Diceros bicornis minor: one gene and its partners. The protein of the gene in region 1 purifies or fractionates together with the protein of each later gene. This does not show direct contact. Links are inferred from orthologs where the notes say so. Each region holds a gene or a part of one and is shown on either strand. Other genes may lie near its edges. The genes, in order: ASF1A, UBN2, UBN1 and CABIN1.

What was found.
Region 2: the proteins of ASF1A (region 1) and UBN2 purify together in Homo sapiens (affinity purification with mass spectrometry; 3 studies listed by BioGRID and IntAct, counting the BioPlex papers as one, with this or other methods). This does not show direct contact. The link is inferred for Diceros bicornis minor from reciprocal best matches to the Homo sapiens genes ASF1A and UBN2.
Region 3: the proteins of ASF1A (region 1) and UBN1 purify together in Homo sapiens (affinity purification with mass spectrometry; 6 studies listed by BioGRID and IntAct, counting the BioPlex papers as one, with this or other methods). This does not show direct contact. The link is inferred for Diceros bicornis minor from reciprocal best matches to the Homo sapiens genes ASF1A and UBN1.
Region 4: the proteins of ASF1A (region 1) and CABIN1 purify together in Homo sapiens (affinity purification with mass spectrometry; 4 studies listed by BioGRID and IntAct, counting the BioPlex papers as one, with this or other methods). This does not show direct contact. The link is inferred for Diceros bicornis minor from reciprocal best matches to the Homo sapiens genes ASF1A and CABIN1.

What each region holds. Positions count from the first base shown.
Region 1 is NC_080762.1:17,473,850-17,480,828, reverse strand, and holds the start of ASF1A (histone chaperone ASF1A), read left to right. Parts: upstream 1-3,958; 5' UTR 3,959-4,263; coding exon 4,264-4,372; intron 4,373-6,979. UniProt on the Homo sapiens protein: Histone chaperone that facilitates histone deposition and histone exchange and removal during nucleosome assembly and disassembly.
Region 2 is NC_080742.1:86,985,280-86,992,938, forward strand, and holds the start of UBN2 (ubinuclein-2), read left to right. Parts: upstream 1-4,650; 5' UTR 4,651-4,931; coding exon 4,932-5,402; intron 5,403-7,659.
Region 3 is NC_080765.1:43,773,072-43,780,358, reverse strand, and holds the start of UBN1 (ubinuclein-1), read left to right. Parts: upstream 1-4,282; 5' UTR 4,283-4,986; intron 4,987-7,287. Other genes in the region: GLYR1 (cytokine-like nuclear factor N-PAC), read right to left, coding at 1,952-2,031, 2,981-3,017, 4,032-4,069. UniProt on the Homo sapiens protein: Acts as a novel regulator of senescence. Involved in the formation of senescence-associated heterochromatin foci (SAHF), which represses expression of proliferation-promoting genes. Binds to proliferation-promoting genes.
Region 4 is NC_080774.1:28,585,518-28,593,303, reverse strand, and holds the start of CABIN1 (calcineurin-binding protein cabin-1), read right to left. Parts: upstream 3,007-7,786; 5' UTR 2,966-3,006; intron 2,792-2,965; exon of another isoform or gene 2,583-2,791; intron 1-2,582. Other genes in the region: DDT (D-dopachrome decarboxylase), read right to left, coding at 5,457-5,529, 6,952-7,169, 7,425-7,532. UniProt on the Homo sapiens protein: May be required for replication-independent chromatin assembly. May serve as a negative regulator of T-cell receptor (TCR) signaling via inhibition of calcineurin. Inhibition of activated calcineurin is dependent on both PKC and calcium signals.

The DNA of each region.
Region 1 (6,979 bases):
GGTAAAGAAAAGATCATACCATATATATATACACGTTCCATACACACACACACACACACACACACACACACACACACACACAGTCTTTATTGTGATACCATATTTTGCCTCCCGCAGAACTTGAATCATAATTGGTTAAAGTTGCATCTAACACTTTCTATTCTGTATCATACTGACTTGATTACAGAGTTATCTTTCCTACTAGGCCATAAGGTTGTTGAGGATAATATCTATGTTCCACAGAGTGTGGAATGTTCCACAGAGCCTAGCACAATAATTTCACATAATAAATGCTCTCTCTCTATATATATAATGAATTATTATTAAAATTCTTACTGTAGGATTTATTCCTTTTAGAAATGTCTGTAAACTCCAGCAAATCCCTACATTCTACATTTATACAGAAAATTTCATTTAAAACTATCATTAAATTTTAACATCCTATAACTAATAACAGGGAGCCCTTTAAACTAACTAAGGATCATATTACAACAAGCCTTAAATGAGAATTTTTTTTAAGGATGAGGACAATAATGCAAATGTCTCTTGAAAGAGAATTCAACACAGTGATACCTAATTATCCCAGGTGGAATCTAGGATTTGAACAAAGGCAAGAGGTTAACACTTCCATTCCTATGATAACTTCTGCAGCAGGGAGGGACTGAGACTTGATTTAATTCTTAGTTCTAATACATTTTAACTCAGTATACTTTAATTTAATCCCATTTAATTCTAGTACATTTTGATTCACTCTTTGATCTTGTTTTGTGTGTGACTTCAAATTAACTTCAAGGTTAAGATTCTCAGAAGCCCGCTGCAGAGAAGCTGTGGATCCCAGAAGCAGGCTGCATCTTGTCTCTTCAGAATTTAAGCCGCATGCCCAACAGGGGGTACCTCCTCTGAACAACAGCTACAGCACACCACTGCACAGCCTACCCGCATGGCTCAACCACGCTTCATTTCACAGCACAGAAAGCACTCCATAACTGATCCATAATTAGACTAAATAAACCTAGATTATCAAATAAGCTTAATTCTGAGGGAAAACAATCATAGCTGTATTAGGTTGTTTGTGCCGCCATAACAAAATACCAGATTGGCTGGCTTAAGCAACAGAAACATCTTTTCTCACAGCTCTGTAGGCTAGAAGTACAAGATCAAAGTGTCAGCAGGGTTGGCTTCTGTTGAGGCTTCGCTCCTTGGCTTGCAAATGGCCGCCATCTTGCTGCGTCCTCACATGGTCTTTCCTCTGTGCATACAGCGTCCTTGGTGTCTCGTATGTCCAAATTTCCTCCTCGTATAAGGATACCAGTTAGATTATATTAGGGCCTACCCCAAGGGACTCATTTTAATTTAACCACCTCTTTTAACAGCCCTATCACCAAATACAGTCACATTCTGAGATACTGGGGTTTAGTGTTCCAACATAGGAATTTGGGGGGGGGGGGGCGCTACAATTCAGCACATTAACAACAGCTAACTACGTTCATGTATCTTTGTCCTAGGCACTAATTCCAGCTTTGTTCATCTTAGAGCCAAACGACCTCTTTCAGCCATCCTTCTCCCAAGTAATCTGAACAGAGAGAAGAGATTTGGGGATTACTTTCCATGTAGCCCTCTAAGCATCATGGGGTCCCCCTTGGGTACTCAATACATGAAGTCTTTCATGGTGACCCATCTGTTGCAATATGGTTAGCTGTTTGAGAGTCACCAAAAAGTTGTTCAACAACAGATCCTATAGATTGCCTCGAAAACCAGAATGATGCTTTTATAATTTTTTCCCCCTACAGCATGCCAGTTAATTTAGAAATATGCCAGGGCACATCTGGGAATCCCTTTGGTCTTTCCTGTAAAGTATTGTCACTGGTGAGGAAATTATTGGAGAGAGTGCTCAAAGGCTCTCCAATATTTTTGAGGAGTAGTAATAAAAGAGTTAAGACAATATGGCAATATGAGAGAACTGGAGCCAATTCTTGTGGTTTCCAGCAAAATATCAGGGAGGTTTTTTTTTTCCCCCTTAAATACTGTTGTATATGACATGTTAAACAAAAGATTTCAAATAAAATAACCCAAACTGGTGGTATCCAGGTAGATCATCTCAGTTCTTGATACAGCATATTCACCAAAAGTGAGTTTTACAGTAAGACGAACCTTATTACGACACACCTATGGTCAGATTGCAAAATGTACTTCATTTTACCAAGCTCATAATGTCATTTTCACAAAGCAAGTGAATTAGTATCTTCTCTTAAGAGTGCCTGCAATAATCAGAGAACTGCATACATGATTCTCAAGGGAGTCATGTTTTAATCTTCAAATGGTCATTTATCTTACATATTCAGTGTGTCTTACAGCATATGGCAATTTATACTTTATCTTAGCTAGTGTTAGGACCAGTACTAATAGGAATGATCAGAGAATATAGTTTATCAGTCATAGTAATCTGTGTCTATCACCACAATATGACTCTTGTACTCTAATGTACACAAACAACTGGGCTTGAGGAAATCTTTTCTGGTAGGTTCTATTGACTATTTAATCCACTGACAATAAAATGGGACCCCTGCTCTAAGTAGTTTTCCTAAATGAGGGGAGGCCTGGTATTAGCTGTCCCATAGTAACTTGCAAAAGACCATCAGATGAAGAGCTGCATCAAAAGCAACCTACTTAAGTATGAACAACGCCCAAAAAATGTCAACTCAAAATTCTGGGCACTATACTCAGAGAAAACTCTTCTAGCATAGATGACACTTAAGAAATAACTTTCTCTCTGAATTTAATTAGCCAAGTTTAGTGGTTTCATTCACAACACTGAAGCGAAAAATGACGGTTTATGAACAGCAGGGAATAAAGCAAACCTTTATACCACTCTTACTTATGGTAAACAGAAACAGTTCAACCACCTCACACGTGTGTTAAAAGCTCTCCCTCTCCCCACAACGGTAGTCAAGCAGCATACACGAATCGACACTAAGGGCTGATGAATTAAGCAAAGCCTCCTCCAGACTTGCTTGTGGTGCCCTAAGTTTTTACTTACTAACGATTTAGGTCATGAGTTTTTTGAAAATCACTGTGTTGGTAAGCCTGTGTGTTCTCTACTCTCCTTTTCCTTTCTCATCTGCCGCCCTTTGGTCTCCTGACACTTCCATTTTCTTTTTTTCCGCTCTGCCTACCAAAAGGCAGAAACCTCCGGTGTAACTGATCACATCTCTTCCTCTTATTCTAGGACTTTGCAGATGGGAATGGGAGGAAGAAGAGCCAGGTGGAGCCCAAATATTACCTATTCAGATTTTCCAAGCAAAGCGTGTGTGGAAAAGCGCCTCCTCGCTCTTCATTTTGTATATTTAACTAACGGCGCTGTGGCGCCCAAACGCAGATATTGGCCGAGAACAAGATTTCCAAAATGGCTTTGCTCCTTTCGAGCTGGTATCGGTCTATAAAATGCAATTTATTTCCACTGCAACCAACTCTTCTCTCTACCCCAAATACTACTCAATGCATAGATAGCTGAAGCCAACCTAGTGTGGACAACCGAATCACATCTGCTAAATTCAGTACAGAGCCGGCACAGCCGTTGGACTGATGTAAAAACAGCGTTAAAAGAAACCACACGAAGCAAACCGGAGGGGCGGGTGTCGCCGAAGATCGCGCCCTCCCGCCGCCGTGCCTGCCGCAAGCACGCCTCCCGCCGCGGCCACGCCCCCCGCCGCCTCGGCCGCGGCCCCGCCCCGCCGGGGCCCCGCCCGACGTGACGCGCGGGAGCCGCGGGCCCGGGGGGCGGGGCCTGCGCCGCCCCTCCCCCCCCCCCGCCGCCGCCGCCGCCGCCGCCGCAGCCGGCGGCTTCCGCGCGGGCCTCCCAGCCCGTATTCCACTCACTTTGTTCTCCGCCTTTGTCCTAATCCACACCAGCAGGTGGAGCCGCAGTTAAAGTTTCCGAGTCCATTCCGGGAGCGGGAGCCCATCTTGCTCGCCGCCGCGGCCCTCGCTGGAGGAGGAGGGTCAGAGCTCGGGTGCAGCCAATCGCGGGCAACGCTGCTAGTTATCAGAGCAGAATGGGCTGTAGTTTAGTGAAATAGGAAAGCTGCAAAACACTGTGGAGTGTTCCCGTGTAAATAAAAAGAGGAAAAAAAAGTTTCTCAAGTCGCCGCTGCACGACGTCGGGCCGGCGCCGGGGCGGGGGTCTGCGCTCTCCCGAGCGGCCGCGCGCTGGACTTTATTGTGCCGCAACAAGCCCCGGCCCCATTGTTTGTGTGTTTTCAAAATATGGCAAAGGTTCAGGTGAACAATGTAGTGGTGCTGGATAACCCTTCTCCTTTCTACAACCCGTTCCAGTTCGAGATCACCTTCGAGTGCATCGAGGACCTGTCTGAAGGTGAGTGGGCGCCCGCCCGCCGCCGGGCTGTCAGTTGCGGGCTGCAGACGTTGAAAGTTTCCCGGGCCCGGCCTCGCGCGGGCGGGCGGGCGGCCGCGGCTCGGCGCCCGGCGGGCTCGGCTCGGCGGAGGGAAACTTGAAGTTGATGGGCGCCGGCGCGAGGCGCGCGCGGGTCGGCCGCAGCCGGGAAGCCCGCCGCGGCTCAACTTGCGAGGAACTTGTGCGAGCGGAGGGAGCCATGTTGTCAGCTTTGTCTGGCGGGCGGGCGGGTCGCGGGGCCGGGGGTCGCGCCGGGCTGGCCCCGAGCCGCCAACGGCCTCGGCGGCCCCGGCGAGGAGACCGGGGAGGGACAGGCTCGTGTGTGGTCGCGCCGGCGAGTGAGCAGCGGAGCCATCTTACCGGGAGGAGAGAATTGGGCCACCGACCCCGGCGTCACGACGCCTCCTCTCCGCGGGTGACGAGCGCGGCGCGGCGCCTGCCCACCTTCCTGCCCCCGAGCGCCAGGCAGATCCATTTTTAGAGCTGACGCCGGGCTGCCGTTCTCCTGGGTGGCCGTGCCCGGCCGCGCCGCGGGGAGCCAGGCTGTCCTCGCGCGGATCTCGGGCTCCCTCGACCAACCAGCGGGGGAGGCGGGCGCAGGCTCGGGCCCGCTCCCCGGGGCCGCGGGGGCTCCCGGCCGCTGCCGCCCGGCCGGCGCCCGGGATGCTCGGGGCGCCCGGGATGCTGGCGCGCAGGCTCGCCCCGGGCTGCGTGGACTCCTTTTCCGTAATGACTAAATCTTCTCTCCTCTCTCTCAGGAAGAAAAATATTGCTAAGCTAGAAAGTTACATTTAACCCAAGAGCAGAAATAAGTAAAATACTTAAATGTAATCACTGGCTTCTAAGTAGTCTGAAAGAAGACTTGCTTCAAGAACGTGTTGAAACCTAATTAAAATAACTCCACATCCAAACACCCTGAACATAAAACACAAAAGTGGGCTAGGAAATAAAAGGTAAAGTCCTGATGGCAATACAAAAATTTTTACTATTTTTTCTAAGTTCATTTTAAGGTCTTCAAAAAGAGAAATATTTTTAATATGTGCAGTAACATTTAGAAAGCTAAAACTTGCCAAGGTCTTATCTTTGCTTTTCTTAGATTTTGTTAAAATAGTCCAGTGCTTCATTTTCAAAATTTGAGGGGAAAAACTTTTTAACTTCATCAATGGTAATTTTACAATTAGACAGACATACTTCTTTGGACTTACAAGTATACTTAACAAAATGCATTTAAAATTATTCTAATGGCATGTAAAGCATTTTCACTTTAAAAATTAATTTTTAATCTCTATAAAATGTATTTTGTGTAGGGTGTTAACTTTTTAAATTATAAAAGCAATACATGCTCATTGTAATAAACTTTTAAAAGTTGTACAGACATATAAACAGTCCTCTGTATGCAGTGCCTTCACCCAACTCACTCCTGTGTGTAACCATAATTAACACTTTAATCTGTGCTCTTCCCATACAGTTTTAATACATATATAAAGCCTGTATACACATATATGTGTCACATTTTGAAAGATGATTCATTTATTAAACTAATTTTTAAATAGGCCATTGATAATAAAAATTAAAGATGATTTTTCGTATCACTCTGAAACCATTTGATTACTTTCCTGGAGTACTACTATAAGCATTTCAGCTACCAGGCCCATTTTTCATACCTAACAGGCACTAACTTTTCCTTTTTATTGCCATCTGCATGTAAAAATGAGTGAATGCAACAGAAACCATTGATCAGTCCATTCCAACATATACTATAGTGTTTTAGACATTAGAAGTTCTTCAAATTACAGATATTTCTCAAGTGATGCCTTCCATTTTAGGAGCTAGTTCTGACAAGGATGATAGATGATTCAGGATGTTGTTACAGGGCTTAAACATTGGATGGCTGAAACCCGCCATTCATGGAAGCACAACTATGCTCCATTCTTAACTGGGATCTATTCAGAACTCAGCTGAATCACATCAGAGTTTTTACAATACTAATGTCAAGAATATACCTACTTCTGCTTGTACACCTCACTTTCCTGGGCATCTATACTTGGCATTTATTTAATATTTTTTCAAAGAGTTTAAGCTGAGTCATACCGAAGCTGCAAAGGAATCTTTCAAAAAGGAGCTGTGCTTGTGTACTCCACCTAGAGGCTGTGTGGATTAAGAAAATTGAGTTTACTTAGCAAAGGCTTCTTACAGGTTCCATACTTTCGTATTGCAGTTCTTAAGGAAAAAAAAAAATCTATTCTTGAGATGAAACTACAGAACATTCTGAAGAGAAATTTTCACTTGATAATTTTGTCTCAAGTCCCAAGCGAGAAGTTGGCGACCATTTTTCATACTTGTCAACAGCCCCCAAATATTTTACTTTCCTTTAAAAAGTGGCACAGTAGCTTTGCTTCAGAAAAAGCCTTGAGTATTTGCTCTTAAGATAATTTAGTTCTTTCTAATATAATGCTTATATCAGTGGACTGCTGTCCCATCCACTGAGTTAAGCAGAGGCTATCCTGTCATCTGGGAGATATGAGACCTTGGATGTGTTTGATCTGATGGTCACCAAGCCTGTACAAG
Region 2 (7,659 bases), on another chromosome or scaffold:
GTGCCACAAGCTAGAGTTTGAGTAAATCAACATTCTTTGCCTGAATTGAAAATTAAAACAAACAAACAAAAAAGCTCATCAAGGTCACCAATAATCTCCATTTTGCCAAATGCAGGCATAATCTCCCTGTCCTCGTCTTACTAGATTTGGTAGTGTTCAACAGTTAGTTGACACTCCCACTTTCTTGAAATGCTTTTCTTCCAAGATCATATTACTCACCTACTTAAAATTTTCCAATGGCTCTGGTTTCATTTATAACAAAATCCCAGCTCCTTGTGCCATTCTGTGAGCCGGCCCCTCTTCCCTCTTGGATTTGTCTCTTACATCGCTCCCCAACTTGCACACTGTGCTCCCACCACTCTGACCTCTCTTCCACCTCACCAAGCTCGCTCTCTCTGCAGACTTGCACTCGCTTTTCCTTCTCTGTAATACTCTTCCTTTGAATCTTCCCCAGACATTCTGGTCTTAACTCAAATGTGCCTTCCTCAGAGAGGACTGACGTAGAAGGACCGACATAACATTGGACGGTGGGCCTTTCTAACTATTTACGTTGATTCTGTTTATCTCTGCTATTGCCAATTCAGTTTTTCCTATTGTTTAACCCCAGAGGGCAACCATCTTACCTTATTGCTAAATTCATTTTGGGGAAGATGGGAGACAGGGATTTGGGGACAATCCTGCTTTCTGCCTCTAGGATACAACACTATTGGAGAAGGCACTAAGGAGTGAGGTTAATTTGCCCCTTTGCTTATTTTTTTTTTGCTGAGGAAGATTCGCCCTGAGCTAACATCTGTATCAATCTTCCTCTGTTTTGTATGTGGGACACTGCCACAACATGGCCACCAACGAGTGGTGTAGGTCCACACCCGGGAACTGAACCTGGGCTGCCAAAGTGGAGTACACCGAACTTAACCACCAGGCTAGTGGGCCGGCCCTGATTTGCCCCTTTTCTGTAAGTACACTTCTCCAAGGTGCAAGATTACCACACCCTGGAACGTTGATCTTCAACATGAGATTTGAGAGTTCATAAAATTATCAAAATTGCTGTGCTGAAGATCTTTTAGATAGTAATTATTGATGAAAAAGTTATGAGTAGCTTAATCTCACAGGACATTTTATATATAACAGAAACGAAAACAGTGCCTGATCTTATAGCACTCCACTTAGATAACACTAACGTCTTAGATATCTTAGATAATCTAATATCTTAGACAAAGACATTCTCACTTTGCATTGATTTTGACCTCTTCCCAGCCTCCTCAAAGGCCCTCACTACTCAATAAAAGTATTTAGGATTTTCCAAATTCTAAAGGAAATGCATAACGGGTAGACATGCTCTACCCCTAAAAAGTCCCCAGAGCAACAAAATTAATTTTTCCTCACCTATTCACTTTCTAACTGCTAAAGTGGCTGTTCATTTCAAATTGGTGATCATAACCACTTAGAGGATTGTGAAATCAATTTTGAGGGTCACAAGCAGCATTTTATTTATTTTTTATTTTATTTTTTTTGAGGAAGATCAGCCCTGAGCTAACATCTGCCAATCCTCCTCTTTTTGCTGAGGAAGACTGGCCCTGGGCTACCATCCATGCCCATCTTCCTCCACTTTATAGGGGACGCCCCCACAGCACGGATTGACAAGCAGTGTGTTGGTGCGCCCCCGAGATCCGAACTGGCGAACCTCGGGCGGCCGCAGCGGAGCACTTAACCGCTTACGCCACCAGGCCGGCCCACAAGCAGCATTTAAAAAAAATGAAATAGACTACAACAGAATTTAATTTAATAGAAAATATCAGAGGGCACCGCACTAATCCTTATCCCAGGCTAGAGTCGGGGAGGGAGGGGTGATACACACATTGGTATCGCATTGGAATTCCTGGGTTAATTTGTTGGACAGACAACATTGTACTGCCTAAATTTACATTATCACAACTACTTGTGATTTATCAAGTGAAGTACAAGAGAATTTTATTTGCTGATAGAAAACCCAGAATTTTCAACTGAGTTCCAATGAAGAACTTTAAGTATGTTTTTGAGATAGGGTGTGTCATCAAGTATGTTGTGTGTGTGTACTATAATTTATTAATCAAATTGGCATAAATTGTTCTCAAAGAAGTTGCTTTATTATTAGAAGAAAAAGAAATAATAAATTGAAAAATACAGGAGCATGTTCAAGTTTAGCGCTGGATGTGGAAGCATAAATAGTGAAAATACTGAGAAAAACGTTCCTCTCATCAGAAAACATTGACTTTACATCTCATTCTAAGAAGAAAAATACAACGAATTTCCTGCAAATGAAAGCTTAATACCTTCAAAATTAAAAGGACATTTGAAAATACAGCACAATCAACTTGTCCATAAGTCCCTAAAATACTCTTAAGGAAAACACTTCTATGCCAGATATATGTAGCAAAACAATTATATAGAGGAGTTATTGTCTGTATGGAGAAAAATATTTTCAGAATTAGAAAATAGCATTTAGTTCAATAAAAATTAAACTATACAATTTATAATGGAATTGCAAGTGATGGAACAACAAATATGATCAGGAAACATAGTAGAGATACAAAAAATTGTTAAAAACTACTAAACACATAAGATAATTTGAAACATTAAACAAAAACAATTGTATATAAGATTCATTTGGTCTTCAAAACGTTAAATAATTGGATTAAACATGATGTTCTATGAAGAGAATAAATTATTGTGGCTTGGTACTTCATTTACACAGAAAAATGATTGCAATACATGAATTTATCATGTTAGATTAAGATTAAAGAATTTATTGCTAAGAAGAAAGTGGATTCACATTATTGCTATTCACAATACCCGTATATATGAACTAGGATTTTCAATTTTGACCCATTTAAAAATAAAGGAAAAGATCAGGCTCAGTAGTAGACCAGATGTGATGTAGCATTGTCCTCATGCCTTCTGGACTGGAATAAAACCCATGAACAAGTAAGGACTTCCATGGCATTAAATAAAATCTTTACTAATATGCTTCTGTACTATTTATGTTAAGGTTTGTTTCTACATTGTATTCTAAAATGTGTTTATATTAACTTTGTTCTTTATGCTACACAATAAGGAAGTATTGTGAAACTTGTATTTCAGATATGTGTGTTTGTGTGTGTGTGTATACTGGGTTAGAATGTAAAATCTATTTCTTACTGTGGGTCATGGATCAAAAAGTTGGAAAAATACTCAATGCGTTAGAAGTTAGCAGAAGATAATGTTGGATGAGTAACACACCTGCAGAACTATTTGGTCTACAGACCACCAGTCTGCTGTTTGATCTAAACTGTGGAGAATATTTGAATATGAGTTAAGTATAGAATTTAACATCGTAGGTAACGTGCAGGTAGGACAGGAATGATACAAAAAAACACCACTGTTTTAGAAGCATTAATACAGCCCCTTTGCAAGACTAGCAGGAATAGAGACTGAGGATAGAGCGGTCACTTAAGTACTATTAAAACAATACAGAAATGAGATCCTAATGCGGAATCAGAATAGCAGCAATGGGAAAGAAGATAATGGGGGTAAAACACAGTGCCAAGGAAAAATAATAGCAACTTAGAGCTCGGAGGGACCTCTTGAACCATCGATTCCATCACCATCTTTATACAAATAGGGAAAGTAATAGGAGAGCAAAAAACTGAACCTACTCATAATTTGTCTGACGTCACACTGACTCAACCAGAGTCATCAATAGGTGTTAACATTGTTAATCCGGTTAATGGAATCAACAGGAGGCGTGGATTCCTTTCAGGATGTGGAGGGCGAGCCCTCAAAGTTGCTTTCTATTGAATGGATTAAAATGGATAGTAATTCTCACTCTTTTAAAATGAATTCCAATTAGTTGTCTGCAAGGTGTGCCTACAAGGCTTTCTCAATCAATGCTCCTCCTCCACCCCGAAATGGGTCATTTAGCATTCTACTTTCGGAAAGCACATCCCCTGAAACACCACCACTCCCTCCTGAGACGTTTTCTATCACTAATTTCAACAGCTAAGGGTTTATGAACGAGCCCAGAACGGGCCATCTGCTTGTTTAATTTCCCAACTGCAAAACGTTATTGCGCATTTTACGACCAGGCCACACACAAGCCCCACCGCGGCCGGGCGAGACAAACAGGAGTCGGTCTGGGAAAGGGAGGCCTGTGGGAGTCAGTGTTGCGCTCCGCGGAGCCGAGGGCGAGTCCGGCTGGAGTTAGCCATTTCCTTTCTTCCCTCGATACTTCGGGCTGCGGGGGCGCTGGGCAGGCAGGCACAGCGGCCGGTCCGCGCGGCCCTCTACCCTTTCACCGTATCCGCCTTGAATAATCAGTTGACAACCCCAACTCTCTAGGGCCGAAAGCGGAAAGCTCGCGCCAGCCGGGACCCGGCGCCATGACTCGGTCAGTCCCGGCCACATCCCGACCCTCTCCCTTGGACGAGCCCCATTCGCGCCTCCGGTTTCCGGGCGCGAATAGGAAGCTTCTCAGGAAACCCCAGACCCCGCCCTTTTAGGAAGGGCGCAGACAGCGTCTCCGTTTCCAAGGAAACCGGTTCTGCCATGACGTCACTTCCGCTGACCTGCCTGGTCTCCAGACTGTTGGGAGGAAAAGAGGAAAACTGAGCCACAGCCACGACGGTGGACGCGAGCGTCTCTTGTCTGCGCATGCGCCCGCTCAGCGGCCTGCTTCTATTTATGTGGGGGATCCAACATGGCGGCTGCGGCGACCCTGGCGATGGCGGTGGAGCTCATCAGGACATAGTGGCGGGGAAGGGGGCACGGTCCGCACTCACGGTGGCGTCGGCGGAGACGGCTGAGAGTGGTGGAGGGAAGAAAAGCGACGGAGAGCAAAAGGAAGGGCGGGCAGGCAAACAACTCGGCGTAGAACCGAGCGCCGGCTCGAGCGAAGGCAGAGGGCCAGAACAGTGGGGATGGCGGAGCCGCGCAGAGTAGCGTTTATTAGCCTGTCACCGGTGAGGCGGCGCGAGCCCGAGTACCCGGGGGCCGAACGCGAGCCCGAGTACCCTCGCGAGCCCCCCCGGCTGGAGCCGCAGCCTTACCGCGAGCCGGCCCGGGCGGAGCAGCCGGCCCCGCGGGAGGCTGCCCCCCGGTCGGACGCGCAGCCCCCGCCGCGGGAGAAGCCGCTCCCCCCGCGCGAGGTCAGCCGCGCCGAGCCGCCCATGTCGCTGCAGCGCGAGCCCCCGCGGCCGGAGCCGCCGCCGCCGCCACTCCCGCAGCTGCACTTGCAGCCGCCCCCGCCGCGGGAGTCGGCTTCCCGGGCCGAGCCGCAGCAGAGGCCGCCGAGGGAGACGGTGCGCCTGGAGCTGGTGCTCAAGGATCCCACCGACGAGAGCTGCGTGGAGTTCAGTTACCCGGAGCTGCTGCTGTGCGGAGAACAACGGGTACAGAAGATTCTTTCCTCATCCCCTAGACCCTGGGAGCCTCAGAACCCGACGGCCTTCCCCAGTGGTTTGCACTTTCCGATGCCCACCATGTGTGTCTCGGGTCGCCCGGGAGGGTGGGCTGGAAGGGGCAGGGCCGAGTGGGTGGACGGGTAGTTGGTGCTGCTTTCCTCTGTCCCCCAGGGTTGGCCGAGGCTGCCACCCGGCTCCTCCGACCCCCGTCGTGCGCCCGCTGCAAACGCAGCTCCCAGCCGATTTATCCTCTGCACCTTTCAAAACCTCACATTTTCCTCCTTTTCTCTCTGTTCCCCATATGTGGGGGCCCTGCAAGTTGCGTGGTTGAATTTTCCTTGTGGAGCTCCTGTTGTCGTTCCAGTAGAAGGGAGGAGAAAACCTTGGGGGACACGCCCCCCGATCTGAAGCAGTGAGATTGTGTAACCTCTCTAGTATCATCCTCATCTTCGTCAGTGTTTGTTATGCTTGACGCTGTGGCTGCTGAGATGTGCTTGGGAGCGCGGGGGTATCTTTCTTAATCGAAGGGGATTTAAAAGTAATCTGAAATTTTTCAGACTAAGGATTCCACTTTAGGAATGAAGGAGAAGTGGATTAGTTATCTGGTTACCTATTTTGCTCTCTTGTGTTGGTATTGGTAAACCTTTTTAGCTTTGTTTTCTCTGGAGTTTATATTGTAATTGAATGAGAAGGTGTTTCTCCTGGTTTATTTGGCGCCTACAATCATATTCTTATTTGAGTGCATGTCATTAGTTTATAGGTCCAAGTTGGAGGATATTGCACTTGGCCATTGTAATTTTGGAGAGTAATGAAAAAAATCTTAGCTTTGAATTTTTAAAAACTTTATTGAAAATATGTAGGTATGCCTTTGATGGAACTAGTGAACAATGGAGATAGGAGAGAGGTTTGTTGGTAATTGTAATTTTTATTGTTGTGGGTTGATGATCTTCAGAAGTAAACTAAAAAGGGAAATGATAGAGTAACAGTATTAAGAGAACAATTTCTCTATTGTTTAGAGGTTATGTATGCTGTTTATTAGGTTTTGCTTTAGCACAGGTCTAATGGACTCTAGAAGGCTCTTGTTTTGTTTTCATCCTCAACTATCGTTATAGTTGAAATGAATGACTCTTTGTGTGTGTGTGTGTGTGTGTGTGTGTGTGTGTGAGGAAGATCAGCCCTGAGCAAACATCCGTACTAATCCTCCTCTTTTTGCTGAGGAAGACCGGCTCTGAGCTAACATCTATTGCCAATCCTCCTCCTTTTTTTTTTTTTGCCCCAAAGCCCCAGTAGATAGTTGTATGTCATAGTTGCACATCCTTCTAGTTGCTGTATGTGGGTCGTGGCCTCAGCATGGCCGGAGTAGCGGTGCGTCGGTGTGTGCCCAGGATCCGAACCCCGGGCCGCTAGTAGTGGAACGCGAGCACCCAACCGCTAAGCCATGGGCCGGCCCAAATGAATGACTCTTTAGTTTAAAAATATCATATTAAACTGTCACTAGATCTTGTTTATTTTGTGGCCAATAGTATTTTGATCGTTATTTACAAATATGTGGTCAAATCATTACTAAATGTTTGCAACCAAAATGAAGTGTTAAGGATAGAGATCATTTTGGGCACTTCCACATAGCATTTTGCCCTGTAGACTCACTTTAGTGCCCTTATTATTTATAAATGTGATGTCATTTTTTTCCCTAAAATAATTTTGAAAATATTGGATTGGAGCATTTTTCAAAGAAATTGTATTTGATCTTCTAATATAAATTAGGTTTGCAGTTTTACTACCTAATCTGTTTCATAAATTACAGATAAAAACACATCATATTTGGGTTAAAATACTTAATAGCTAATGTTTACTGAGTTCTTGCTATGTGCTGGACACAGTTCTAAGTTTGGTACATGACTTGCTGAGTTAGTGCAGCAGAGTTCCATGAGGTAGGAATCATTATCCCCACTTTACTAATGAGGAGGCACAGAGTGGTTATACGTAATTTTATTAGTATTTCTTTCTATGCTAGTACCAAGTCTTAGCAAAACAAAATTTCTTACAGTTAACTCATATGGTTTGTATTTAGAAGATCCTCGGGCCGGCCCCGTGGCTTGGCGGTTAAGTGCGCGAGCTCCAATGCTGTTGGCCCGGGTTCGGATCCCAGGCGCGCACCAAGGCACCACTTCTCTGGCCATCCTGAGGCCAAGTCCCACATACAGCAACTAGAAGGATGTGCAGCTATGACATACAACTATCTACT
Region 3 (7,287 bases), on another chromosome or scaffold:
TTAATGCCTAGTTGTTCACAGTATCCCCACTGCCTGGAATGCCCTTCTTGTTCCTGCCTATCCAAATTCTATTTATCCTCCAGAGCTGGCTTCACATCCCATCTCTTCCATCAGCTTTCTCTGACCTAGCTGTTCTCCACTGATCTCTCCTTGTTCTAGAACCCTTTAGCAATTACCTGCATCACTCCTTCTGTCCTTACTCTCATCTGAAATGTTTATGTCTTGTCACCTGAGCTCCTGGAAGGTGGAGACCACACATTTGCTTTCCTGGAAGTTCACTTTGGTGTCAGCAACGCGGAGTGTGGCTGCACAATCAGCACCGCTTTATGCATCAGGACAATTTTTTGTGAAATCCATAGCATTGGGCCGGCCCCATGGCTTAGCGGTTAAGTGCGCACTCCGCTTCTGGCAGCCCGGGTTCGGATCCCGGGCACGCACTGATGCACCACTTGTCCGGCCATGCTGAGGCCGCGTCCCACATACAGCAACTAGAAGGATGCGCAACTATGACATACAACTATCTACTGGGGCTTTGGGGAGAAAAAGGGGAAAAAAAAAAGGAGGAAGATTAGCAATAGATGTTACCTCAGGGCTGGTCTTCCTCAGCAAAAAAAGAAGAGGATTGGCATGGATGTTAGCTCAGGGCTGATCTTCCTCACAGGGACAAAAAAAAAAAAAAGAAAAGAAATCCATGGCATTACCAGAACATTCTCTCTTCCAGAGTGTCTCTGGTTCTCACAGCACTGGGCCAGTGACTACCTTGAAATATCAACATCAAAAGGCTGCTAAATCAGTTTGTGACAGAGAACTGGGCCTAGGTAATTAGTATATCTATATGGTTAACGTAAACATGCCATGCAAACTCTAAACTGGGATAAGCACTCAGACGTATAAACTTCTGAGTCAGTGAAGGGCAGTATTTATAACAGATTTTGCTATGGAATATTATATATCGCTTTCTGGGAATGCGTATTTTAACCATTGGTATTAGATTTATCAGAAAAGCCACAGATGTTTTTCAGACCCAAAGCTACATTTTCCTGTAAGAGTCAAAAATAGAAATACAACTACTTAAAGAAATCAAACCATCTAGCTAGACCCAAGTAATCAAATTGATGTAGTGATGAGACAGCTAAACAAATCACCAGAAACTTAAGTAAATACACATTCTCTCCCTGACTGTAAGTTATATGGCCTATCAAAGAATCTCAAATTGATGGTCCTGATTTCAACTCTAAGACAGATCTGGTTAAAAAGCTTTACTGTTACAATGTTAGAGCAAGTCATCTAATTTCACAAAAGAGAACAGAATCAAACAACTACTTTTATTTTTATTTTTTATTTTTTTAAAGATTTTATTTATTCATTTTTTTCCCCCCAAAGCCCCAGTAGATAGTTGTATGTCATAGGTTCACATCCTTCTAGTTGCTGTACGTGGGACTTGGCCTCGGGTTGGTCGGAGAAGTGGTGCCTTGGGGCGTGCCCGGGATCCGAACCCGGGCCGCCAGCATCAGAGTGCGCGCACTTAACCGCTAAGCCACGGAGCCGGCCCCACTACTTTTATTAAGGTAAATAAAATTTTAGTTTTCGCTGTATACGTTATGCATGAGCCACATGATAAACAGCCATTAAAAAGAGAAACAAACATGGCCCTTATAATAGGAACTGCCTATGAAGTTGGGTAAAGAGATGTAAGAAACTATCTCAACATGATTACCATATGTAGAAGATGGTGAACCCTCATTCTCACTTGACATTGTTATTGGCCCCAAGACAATTTCTGCGAGATAAGAACAGCACTTTATATTTAGGTAAGAAGCCAGAATGATATGCCATTCTTATACACTACAGTAAGAAGGAACTAGGGTCCCTAGAATATTCTCAAAGCAGCCCAGACCCACGGCAACGCTCAAACAAAGGGACAGTGCAACTCTTGGGGAGCACTACTCACTGATCTTCTGTTCCAAAAAACTTCACAAAAAAGCATTTCTTTCCACGCGGTTTCTTCAAGTCCTTGGGTGGATTAACAATCTGGGGGATAAAAGGGAAAAAAAGTTTTTTTCCACAGCTCCAAATTAACAAGAAAAAAACCTAAATAAAACAAAAGGAATATGACTGAAAAAGAACCCAGAGCCTAGCACACGTCCAAATGTGGCACTTTATCATGATGTGAGGAAACATGCAAATATTCCAGAAGTTCCTACATCTAACATGTAGCACAGCATTCAATAGATACAATATCCCCTTTACTGCAATGGCCGCATTTTAAAAGCATTTACAACTAAGACCAACATTATTTGCCCCCAGTGTGACCTTGTCATCACTGAAGAAATACACAGGACACTCTTAAAAATACTTGTGTGCAGGAAGAGTTGTGACAGGTAATAGTGACAAAGAAGGACAACCGAGGCACTGAAAATGCCATATTGCAAAGAGACAGTCTAAAGACATTTCCCGGGCTCCAAACAAGAATATAACAACAGAACATTTGGAAAGCTATGACGGATCGCCTCATGCAAAATTTGGAATGCCAACTTTTGCAAAGATGCACTGGAGAGAGCAGCACATATGGTAACATGGAAAGATTTAAACTTAGTTGGGACAAAAATACTTTGACTTTTCACTAACCTACATTTAGATTTCTCTCTTCCTGGAGAATTTATTTTCCTCTCTTTTTGTTAGATTTAACTGTAAAGCTATATTCAAGTTAGAATTGATTTCCAGAGTTAAAAGACTTCACCACAACTCTCTCTGATTCAAGAAATAAGCATTTACTGTAGATTAAATGACCTGGTTTATATTATATTGCTTTTTCTAAACAAACTGATAATAGAGAAAAAAAAATTCTGAGTGTCATTTAAGTAGGCCCAGTTTGACCCAATGCTAGAAATTGAGGCGGGTGCATCTTACATTCTCTACCTTCTCAAACGCAACTTCAGATGTCTTCCTGTAGTAGCTTCTAGTAGTAGAACACACTCACCTTTCCTGGCCAAGGAGGATACCGGCCGAGTTTCCCCCTAGAGAAAACACAGAGAATCAGCATTTGCCTTGGAAAAGCCAGTCCATCTCCTTCAACCCACTCAACATGCAAGTTATTTTCTAAATCTCCACTCGCACCCTCAAGTGCCAGAACAAGTTTGCAAACAGGAGTTCTTAATCTGGCTTCCACAGCTGGGCCCAAGAGGCCCAAATCCCTCAGAGCTGGGATGCAAAATTGTAAACGTATGTGCATAAGGTATGTGCATTCTCCTGGTGACAACAAATACACAATAATGAAACCACAAGAATCACTTGTCTAGAGCCTCCCCGGGACGGGGGCGGGGAGCAGTGTGCTCTGTAAACACAGACTTCCCCTCGCCAAGTCTGGTTTAATTCACCGCGGGACGGCCCGGCTCTGACAAATGCTAATGGGAGCCTTCCTCTGGGTCGGGAAACGAGCTACGCAGCTCCAGGGAGACGGCGAGCGTCAGTCTCAGTTCGGGCGGTTGTCTGGGACACACGAGCGGACCACGAAGGCACCCAGAAAGGCACTAGTCCCCGCCAAGCCTCCGAGTGTAAAGGAGAAGTCCCCCCTCCATTTCTTCACGGGGCAGCGCCAACAGTCCGGTTTCGACACCCCGGGCCGAGCCGCCGCACAGGTCGGTTCCATCGCAACGCGGGTTTTGACGGGCTCGCCCGGCGAGATGGCCCCGCCAGCTCCCCGACTCTGCCGCTTTCCGAGACGCCTGGGCAAGACCTCGAGGACCCGGCGTCCGCAGGAGCCGCGCGGCACCGGGCACTCCCTCCACCGTGGCCGCCGGCGTCCGGGTCCGGGGCTCAGAGACCGGCCCGCCGCGGCCACCCTCGGCCTCAGTCCCCCGGGGCCGGGCTGCCCCTTCCGCCCGGCGTCGCTCCCAGCGCCGGCACCTCGTCTCGCCCTCTCTCGCGGCCTGGAGCGCATAGAAGGGCAGCTCCGAAGCTGGCGGCGACCCCCGTGCCCAGGGGTGCAGCTTCGCGGCGCACCTCGCTCGGCCCCGGCCGCCCGGACTCACCACACCAAATCGCCGAGCCGCAGACTCACAGCCGCCATCTTACCACCCAACCACGGCCGACGCACGGGCCGCCGGGAACATCAGGGCGCCCCGGCGCCGCCCATTGGAGTGCGCCCGGCCACGTGACGGGGGCCGGCTGTCAGCGGCCACGCCGCGGCTCTGACGTCACCGCGCCCGCCGGGGCTCATTGGCCGGCTGAGCGGCACGTGACCCGGGAGCCGCGGTCTCCGCGCGCCGGAGCCCCGAGACTCCCGGCTCCTCTCCCCCTCCCTCCGGCTCGTGACAACGAAGCGCCGGCGGTCTGATTCGGCGGTGGAGGCGGCGGTAGTGACTGTGCGGCCGGCCGAGAGCGCGAGGGAGCCGGCCCTGCGGTCCGCCCCGCCCCGCCCCCGGGTCCCGGCCTCCAGCCCCCTCCTCCTCGGCGCTTCCGTTACGGCCGTTAGTCTCGCGCGGGCCCCGGGGCCGGCCGCCTCGGCGCGCCGGCAGCTGCCCTGACAGACCTCGGCGCGGCCTGGAAGCCAGCCTCCGCCCGCGCCCGGGGCCCCGCGCCCGGCGAGCTCTACGTGGCCGCGCCCGGAGGGCCGACGGGTCCTTCGGAGGCTGCTTTCTGACGGCCGGGGTCCGGGGAGCGGCTCCGAGCCCGCGTCCGCGCCGCAAGTTGTCCCGGGGCGCCGGTGCATCCCGCCCCGAGGTCGCGAGCTGCTCGGCCGACGTGGAGCCGGCGTCTCTCCGCTTCCTCCTGGGCGGGCGCGGCGGCACGGCCCGCGAGGCTCCCCCGGGCGCGCGGGGACCCGGCCATGGGCCGCGGCGCGGGCCGGCCGCCCGCGGGGAGGCATGGCTCGGGGGCCGGCCGCTAGCGGCGCCGCAGCCCGGGCTCCCGGGCCGGCATGAGGACGGCCGCCGGGGGACGAGTGCGGCCCGCGGGGCAGTAGCCTGCGTCGCGCCGGGGACAAAGGTGCGTGTCTTTGTGGGGACCGGGCTCTCGCGTCTGCCTTGCTGTAGTTTGACACTTTGAGGGAAGTTGGGCGCAGGCTGTTGTGACAACAGGAAGGCAGGTGCCGGGCGCGGTCTCGATACGTTAAAACTAAGCCACTGAATGGGAACTGTAATCGGCGGTTCAGCACAGCGCCTGCCCAAGTGTCCGCACACCAGGGAGGGAACAAAATTTAGAAGGTCCCAATGCCAGTTGCAGACTCCAGGGAGTCCGAGGGAAGAGTTAACTTAGAACCGGACTGATCTTGGGTCGTATCCTGCTTGAAAAGGTGGCGGGTCCGCCCGCGTCTCCCATAGGCGTTTTGTTCTGCGGAGACTTGGGTTGTAAGGGGCTTTTAGCGAACTAGCTTGTTCGAAGCCTGGTTTTTCTTGGGCGTTCAGTTTCCCTAAAACACCGTCCGTTAGTTTCAGGAACTGTCATTGACTGTTTTGTGTTTTTTAAAGACAAACTGATCATTTAAAGCATGTTTAAGATTCCAAAAAATAATTTAGTGAAATTAAACACACATTCCTAATTTAAAAACTTTTATTTTTTGAGGACTTGGAAGGGTATTTTAATGACTTGGTAAAAATATGTAAATCCTAAATTGACATCGCACTGGGCTACAGGCATTCCCGTTAGTCAGGAACATGGCAAAGAATATATTGTCTAATATTATTCTGGAAGTTCTAGCCAATGTAATAAGACGTGAAACAAAAATAAGAAAAATAATTTTTCAGAAAGGAGAAGACAAAATTCTCATTTCTGTGGATGAGAGGTCAGCCTATTTTGAAAAAAAAGTTAAGGGAAAACCGTTAAAATAAGAGTTCACTTGTAAAGAAACTAATTGTAAAATCAGTATACAAAATTCTCCTTTTCTTTGTTTCACCAATAATCCGTTTGAAAATATAGTAGTTAAGATGTTGTGTAACAAAAAAATATACAATTCCGGGGAATAACCTCTGAGATACAAAAGGAGGCTAGCATTTCTTGGATAACATCAGTTGAGTTTTTTAAGAGGGGTGTTTTTGTGTGTAGAATACTGTGCTTTTACTTCGAATAATGTTCAACTCATTAAAGTTGAGTATTTAAATACTTAGCTTTTCTTAAGCTTTTTAAATTTTACTCAAATCTTGTTTTATTTACAAATCTAAGAATGTTTATATAAATAAAAATACTTGATCTTTGACAAAGCTTCGATTAAGGCGTCAGTTTAACAGATTAAATTTCTCTAAACAGTGAATTCGCTTTACAAAGTTAAATTCCCTTAAGTGTTTTAAACTGCATTTAAAGTTTTATATGCTTTTTCTCTCAAATACTTCAAACTTATAGAACGGTGAACTTATAAAGCTAGTAGTAAAGTCTTTCCAAGGACTTAACTCTTGTAAGGCTAATAAATGTGTGAATGTAAGGTTCTTTTAAACGCACACTTTCAAAGTTATATTTTCTTAAGGATTTCAAATTAAAATTGTAAGTCTAAGTCATTCATTCATATGTTTTTGTTTTTTCTTTTTTTGTGAGATCAGCCCTGAGCTAACATTTGATGCCAATCCTCCTCTTTTTTTGCTGAGGAAGACTGGCCCTGGGCTATCATCCGTGCCCATCTTCCTCCACTTTATATGGGACGCCGCCACAGCATGGCCCACCAAGCAGTGCGTCGGTGCGCGCCCGGGATCTGAGCCGGCGAACCCCGGACTGCTGCAGCAAAGCGTGCGCACTTAACCGCTTGCGCCACCAGGCTGGCCCCCATTCATATGTTTGATTCTCTTAAATATTGCAAATGATTTAGTAACAAGTGACGGCAATTATCATGATGATTATAAAACTTAATCCAAGATCTAAGTGTTAATATGCTGTAGGTTTGATTCTGTAGTCTTATTTCTATAACTTCTCAGGCTGGCAAAGTCACCTCCACAACTAAGAGAAGCAGATTTACCATATAGGTTTGAAGTTAAAATGTCTAAAATTTGGGCCAAGATAAGGTTACATTTTTATTTTATTTTATTTATTTTTTTAAACAGTTATTTTAATTTTATTTATTTATTTTTTTCCCCCCAAAGCCCCAGTAGATAATTGTATGTCATACCTGCACATCCTTCTAGTTGCTGTATGTGGGACTCGGCCTCAGCATGGCCAGAGAAGCGGTGCGTCGGTGCGCGCCCGGGATCCGAACCCCGGGCCGCCAGTAGCGGAGCGCGCACACCTAACCGCTAAGCCACGGGGCCGGCCCTAAGGTTACATTTTTAAATTACTGCCCAGACAGGGGCAGGGACCTGGTTGCCG
Region 4 (7,786 bases), on another chromosome or scaffold:
TGAGAACACCTTTGTGTATGGCTCTGACTCTTAGAACCACAGTCATGTTTCACACTCAAAAAGTAAACAATTGAAATCACCTAAGATCTAGGGGGAACCCCAAATGGAATATACTAACAATGAACCTACTGTATTACAAATAACATAACCACACTGAAGGGCATAAGGAAGAAAAGAACTAACCTAAGCAACCGTGGAAAACAGCAGCCTGACTGGATACTATAAGGCTAAAGACAAAAAGAACTGTGATTCCAGGGTTGGGGCAGAGAAAATACAAAATGAGCCTAGAACATCTTGCGGTGCCAGAAAGTAAGCAAGTGCTCAAAAAATTGATGAGGGTTTGTCACAGCTAACCTCAAGGAGATCCTAAATAGCCAAAGCCGGAACAGTGAGCAACAAAATGATGATAATATTAGATTCTGACCCATAGAATACAATGAATATCCATGGCGTCCATCCTGACACAAATAATAATCAAATAAATAAAGGAGAGAAGGGATAGCTCTTCCTTCAATTGAATTTCAATTAATAAATGTAAAAGGAGAGAGAGAAATAGGAAATTACCTTTAGGCAAACAACACAAAGATCCACAGGTGGATGCTAAGGTCAGTGAGTGTAAATCTGTGAGAACCGGAATTTGCATCCTCTCAAAGTATCTCCCCAAGACACTTACCGACTAGAAAGGGAAAGAGAGTGACTTCACAGTGTAGAAACCTGGCAACACCAACTGAATCAAGTGATCAAGGTAAATATCGCCAGTAATAAGACACAACATCATCTTCAACTCCTCGATATGATGCACTGAGAAGAACACCATGTTTGTGTTGTTCTGGCCAAAAACACACAACGTCACTCCAATCATGAGAAAACACCAAACATACCCAAACTGAGGGATATTAGACAAAATAACTGATCACTACTCTTTACAAGTAGAAGGCCAAGACAAGAAAAGACCACGTAACTGTTAAGCACTAAGGAGAAATGACTTAACGCAATATGGGATCTTGGATAGGATCCCGGAATGAAAATAGAACACTGGTGGAAAAACAGGTGAAATTCGAACTAGGTCTGTAGGTGTGATAATAATATTGTACCAATGTTACTTTCCTGTTCTTGATAATTATACTATGATTATATAAGATGTTAACCTGAGGGGAAGTAGGTTGAGTGACCTATGGGAACTCACAGTATTATTGCTGCAATATCTAAATCTAAAATTAGTTTAAAATAAAAAGTTTAAAAAGAAACAACCATCTGAGATTATGTATTTATCATCTGTAGCAATGTGAGGATGGGGACCACATCTGTATTGTTAACCACAAACCCACTAAAAGGAGCTTAAAAAAAAGCAGCTACTGCATATACATAAGAAAGTATCTACTCATTTCTCGGACTCGCAGCCCAGCAGTTGCACTTTCTCAGAATAGCGCATTCAGGAGTTCAATCTTACAAGTTTCCAAATTCCTCAGAGCATGGTTTTCACGGCCTTAAGAACACACGATAAAGAAGAGCACACTCTGAGCATCTCATACCCGGGTCCAGTGATGAGCCGTGACGTCTCCTGTGTGCTCTGGCCCGGAGCCGGGAAGCCTAGGTCTGCAGCTCAGGGTGGCACTACCAGGCTGTGCCGCTGACTTGCTCTAAGATGCCCCTCTCCGAGTCTCAGAGTAGGAAGCTCTAAACTAGACCAGGCGTCCGTCCACAAGCTAATTAGCCCACAGTTTTTGTACAGCCCAGGAGCACAGAATGCTTTTTACATTTTTAAGTGGTTGAGAAACTTCGTGACACATGAAAATTATATAAAATTCTAATTCCAGTGTCCATAAATAAAATTTTATTGGAAAATGGCCACTCTCCTATGTATTGTCTTTGGCTGTATCCACAGTTGACACCAGAGTGGAGTACACAGAGTCTGGCCCACAAAGCCTAAAATACTTACTCTTATAAGTATGATTATACTTATTATATTCACAACATATTACAATACTATTCCTGGGCCAGTCCCGTGGCTTAGCGGTTAAGTGCGCGTGCTCCGCTGCTGGCGGCCCCGGGTTCGCATCCCCGCGCGCACACGACGCACCGCTTCTCCGGCCATGCTGAGGCCTCCTCCCACATACAGCAACTAGAAGGATGTGCAGCTATGACACACAACAATCTACTCGGGCTTTGGAGGGAAAAAATAAATAAATAAAATCTTTAAAAAAAATACTATTCTATTATTATATTTACAACAAAAGTTTGCGGGCCCTTGAAGCAGCCCCCTCTGAGGATATTTCAGTTCTAACCACGGTTATGAACCACACGGAAGGCACCCTGGCCGCCCGGGAGCCGACCGTCCCACGGCCACGGCCTGTCGTACCCAGGCCCCAAGACTGAAGTGGCGCCCCCAGCCGCTGGAGCAGACACCTGCGAGCGCCGGCAAGCTCCGCCTGGCCAGGCCCGCCCCGGCCCGGGAGGCAGCGCAGTCAAGACCGCCGTGGGGAATCGGGCTGCCCCCCGGTTAGCTGGGTGACTTTGGACGAGTCCCCGGACCTCCCGGCCTCGGTGCCCTCCCGGTAAAGGGCGATCATCACAACACTCACCTCGCAGGGCTGCTGCGAAGGTGAAGGGCAAGGACGCGAGTCAAGGGTCAGCGCCGGTCTCGGCCCGGGCAGACGCGGGATCAATGGCGGCTCGTGCTGTGGTCCCTGAGACCACTCCCGAGGCCGGGCCCGTCCTGGCCCCCGGGGCGGCGGCTCGCCGTGAGGCGGCCCCCGGGGCGGCCTGGAGGCCCGGCCTCGTCGCTCCCGCGCTCCGGCCTCGGTTTCTCCGACGGCCGCACCGAGGCTGCCGGGGGATCCCCCAGCGCCGGCCGCCCCTCAGGCTCGCGCCCCCACCCCGCCCCGGCTCCGCAGAGTCGCGCCCCACCTCCCGGGGGCCGCCCCCAACCCGCGCGTACACCCGCCCCACGCTCCCCGGCACTCACCAGGCATCTCCACGGCAACGGCCCGACCGCCCCGTCCCCCGCGCCGGCCGGCTGCGCGCCTGACAACAAGGCGCGCTCCCATTGGCTGCGGTGCCGGCTCCGCCAGCCAATCAGCGAGGCGCACGCGCTGCTCCACCGCCCGGCCGGCGGGCTGCTGGGCCCCTGCGGGTGGCGTCGGGCGCCGAGCCGAGCGGCCTGAAGCGCATCTCGAACCTCCGTGAGTCTCCGCTGTGTGCGCGCGCTGCTGTGGGCTCGGAGCGCCGGCTCGCGGAGCGGTCGGACTCCCGGCTCCACCGCTGGTAATACGTGTGAAGAGTCGGGCTCGGTGCCTGGCCCCGAGCAGTCGCCAAATGACGGGCTGTGTTATCGTTGTTACAAGCGGGACAGGTGCTCTGAAGGCAGTGGAAACGTGGGGAACGTTTAGAGGGAACCCGGGGAGGAAGAGTCGTCTTCTTCATATTACCTGTGCCTCACCTCTTTCCGAAAAGGATTTGAAGCCCAAAGGCACAGATGCAATCAACTAGTGAAACAAAGGGGGGAAAAACCCAAAACTCAGAGACCCGGGAAACGAGGGAGTGACAGCATTCCAGAGCCGAGAAGAGGGTCCCGCACGGAAGGGTTGCCGAGCGCGGCTTCAGCTTCGGGCTGAGAGACGTCACGCTCTTGGGAGCTAAGCGTTTTGGGGGAGGCCTTCACCCTGTGGTTGAACCTCATAGCTGCTGGAGTCCAGCAAGGATGATTTAAATAGCAATGAATGACATGACTTTCTTTTTGACTTTCAAGACAGTAAAATCCTGGTGAAGAACTCATAGAGTCAGTTCAGTACAAGAAAGCTTTACTGATATGCCAGGAGGTACAAAAATAATTGAGTCACTAACTTTGATTTTGAGAGGCGTACAGCCTTGGGGGACAGGGGCAATGAACAGAAGCATAAACAGATGGTTTCAAAGTTTCATGGATAACATGCAACCTAGGGTGCAGCCTCCACCCCCAGTTGTATCTTGAAAGGGGCTCTGGAGACAGTCTGAGACAGTCGAAAAAACATGAGAAGGGTGGTCCAAACAGCAGGGAGCTGTGTGGCAAGGGTTTGGCGGTGAGAAAGAGTGCAGGCCACAGGCAGAAGCCTTGGGCAGCACGGTATTGCCAGGGGACAAAGCTCAGGGCCACAACGGGGAGATAATGCTGGAGAGGGGGGAGGGCCAGTCCCCACAGCAAGCAGATGACATCCCTCTCACTACAGTGGGGTGAGAGATTTAAGGTGGGGAGACCAGATTGGAGGCTGTTGCCTTATGGTCCTGGCAGGGGCTAGGGCTGAATCCCTCCTTGGGCACTTCAATCGCTCTTTTACATACAACCCACAAATATTCCCTGAGCCCCTCTGGGAAGCAGGACACCCATGTTGGCGGAAGGAATGACTGCAGAAACAGTTGGGACAGGGAGCCAGGGGAAGGAATTCCAAGCTCTAGCTTTTCGTGAGTCTTCAGCAGTGGTCAGGTACAAACACAGCAGGCAGAGGCACATTCCACTGGAAACTAACTTTGTTAACTAGGTGGACTGCGTAGACTGAACATCTCCATCTGGTGTTTCACTGGTGCACTACAGACAAGGATGATCAAACCTTTAACTGTGCAGGGAAACACAGCACCCACCACAGAGTCTTAAGACATGTAAACTCTTCATTGAACATCTGGAAGGAAACTGAAAAGGACACTTCCTCTGGGCTCCCCCCACCCCACCTGTATATTCTCTGAAATGCAAAAGCATGACATGGTATTTTGATGGGGGGGCGGAGATCCCATTCATTCACTTTCTAGTGGCAGACATTGCCTTTCCAGGTTTGCCATTCTGGGACATGGATTTTACAAGGTGCACAGCTACAGAGAATTCTCAGCAAGACTCATGGGAGAAGACGGAGTTTGGCAACGCCCAGGAAAGGTCTCTGAATCCCAGGCTGCCCTGCTCTCCTGCTGGGCACAGCAGTCCCCTTCAAGGGGAGGGAACTGCCCAGACCAGCCCAGGCTGAGAATGGAAACATCTGGTCAGCAGAGTCTGCAGGAAGGCCCAGGCTAGAGCAGGCTGGCAGCCTTCCCTACCAGCCTGCACATGGGCATGGAGAGCAGGGCCTCCAGGCTGAGCCCTCCACCCTCGGATTTGAGCAGCCTAAATACAATACATGAAAGAGCGGCCCTGAAGACAGGCAACATCCCACCTCCCAGGTTCCCTCAAGTCCCCACCTCATTAGCCAGCCCCTCTGCCCAGGATGGCCCAGAATGCCAGGGAGGGGTAAAAGGAAGTAAAGAAGTCGTGTCTGAAAGACGAAGCTCTCTTCATTTATTAGAATGAGGATGGGGAAGAAGAGGATTGTGAGGTCACAGGCATGTCTGCACGTGGGGGTGCCAGAAGCTGGTATCCACCAAGCCCTCACTCTGCCAGAAGGCTTCTGTGGAAGGGGCCGCCAGCTCACAGATGCCCTGGATGCTCTCCATGCCAATCATAAAAAAGTGACGACTGTCCCCTTCTTGCCAATCTGCCAGGGCTCCAGGGGGAGAAAGCGCATAATTATCCTTCAGGAGACAAAGAAAAAGATGTCATCAGCTCCTTGGCTAATTATTCCAAGACCCCTAGCCAGGCATTCCCACCATGGGCTCCCCAGCCAGCCGGCCTTAGCCCCCCGGGCATTTGCAAGCCTGCCTCTCCTCCCAACCCCCAACAGGGCAGTGGGCCTGTCAGGGGCGGGGTGGTGGCTGCACCTCATTGTGTCCCACCCAGGAAGGCTACTCAACACAGCAGCCTCTGTGGTCACTGTATGCCCTGTCTATGGGCTCAGAGGGCAGCCCTCCCTCTTCCAAACTGCAGGCTCCCAGGACACCCTTGGGGGGAGTATGTGTGACCACCTCAAGTTTTCTCATCTGTAACTAGGCATAATGGAGGTATCTACCTCATGGGGGTGGCATGTCTGCATGAGCGGGTGTGCAGAGGGGAACAGAGTTTGTAAGGATCAAATGGGATGATGCCCGTAAGGCACCTATAGGGCACCTGGCGCGTGATAAGTATTCGCACATTACTTATTGTTGTTAGAATTATCGTCTCTCCTCACCTTGAGGACCAGGTCCGAGCACCTCCCAGGAGTGACCATTCCTCACCAGCCTTTCTGGGCCAACAAAGGCTCCATTCTCAAAGGTTCTTTCAACCTTCTCATGCCCTTAGATCCTCACAGGCATGGACTGGGCTCAGGAATATTTTTCGCCCAGGAAGAAACTTTAACCTTGCCACAGGATCCCAGGTTTGGGAGCTGTAGGGGCTTCCTGGGGAATCACTGAATCCATGCCTCTCTATTCACAGAAGAGAAGGCTACAAACCAGAGAGGGTTCACTTCCAGGTTTGTCTGGGTCCCCAGCTCTGCTAGACCCAGAACCCAGGCCTCCAGACATCTGGACCAATGCTCTTACCACTACTCCGTGACCCTCCTGGGAGCCTTACCTAGGACCTGGTTGGGCCACAGGCCCAAAGGCCACAGCCTCAGGACATACCCAGAATTCCACCTCACCAGGCCAGAGAAATTCTCCAAGAAAATTACTCTTGATTTTCTAAGATGTAGGCAGCTGATATGGCTATGGCTTTGTCAGATAACAACATCCTAACCTGCCAGGTGCGGAAGCAAATATAATACATTGCCATCCCATGCAGTGTCCCCAGGGAGTGGTTAAAGGAAAGGCTTCCCCCTTCACAGATGGAAACACAGAGGTTTAAGAGGTCACGCCTTGCCCAGGTGTCATAGGGACAGCTGCAGAGCCAGGAATTCATTCAATTCTGATACCACTCTGAAGGCTGACCCTCCACCAGGGGGCCAGAGAGGTCAAGGGTCAAGTCTTCTGTAGTGCCAGGAATTTATTTTTTCCCCCAACTTTAGGAGGGGCATTGAGGTAGGATCACTATCCCCCGGTGGCGCAGCAGTCCAAGAGGGTCCTCTCCCTGCTCCTACGCACCGGTCCTGGTCCAGGCCCAGTTCCTTGGTGAGGAACTCGAAGAGGCGGGCGCTGTGGCCGCGGTTCTCCTCGGCCGTGCCCACCACACCGATGGAAGAGACGAGCAGCTGCGCGCAGGGCTCGGTCGAGCCGTTCACCGCCATGGCCAGGCCCGGCCGCACCGTCGCGTTCACGCGCTGCGGGGGACACGAAAGAAGCCGCTGTAGGCCAGGCTCGCTCTGAGGACAGAACGGCGCGGGGTCGGTCCGAGACGCACGGGCCCGTGGGATCAGGACTGGGGGCACCGGCCGGGGTCCCTGGAGGTCACGTTGGGGTCATGGCTGGGGAAGGCGACACGGAGCAGACGTGGGGAGTGTGGAGAGCGGGAGGTCAGGGGTCCCTGTCGGTCACGGTGGGACAGCCGGGGCGTGGACAGAGCCCGACCCCTGGTCCACCGACTTCCCCCAACCCGGTGCTCCCAGGCCCACGCTCACGTCCTCGGGTTTGCCCAGGATGGCGGCGGCGGCCGCGCAAAGCCGCTTCTCTAGTCCTGCGGGCACGCGGCCGGCGGGCAAGTTCGTGTCCAGCTCAAGGAACGGCATGTCTAGCAGGAAGGCGCGCAAACCACCACCGCGGAGAAAGAACGCGCGGAGTCCGGGTCCATGTTCCAAGGGTCAGAGACTAGGGGGCAGGGGCGGGGCGCCACGGGAACCGGGCTCCTCATTGGATGGGCAGGCAGGCAGCGCCCCCCGATTGGCTGCCTACCCCGGCCCGGCCGACAACCTCGGCGTACGCGGGAGCTGATTTCCGGAAGTCCTGCCGCCCCGCCCACTCCGTGTAACCCCACCCCCAACGA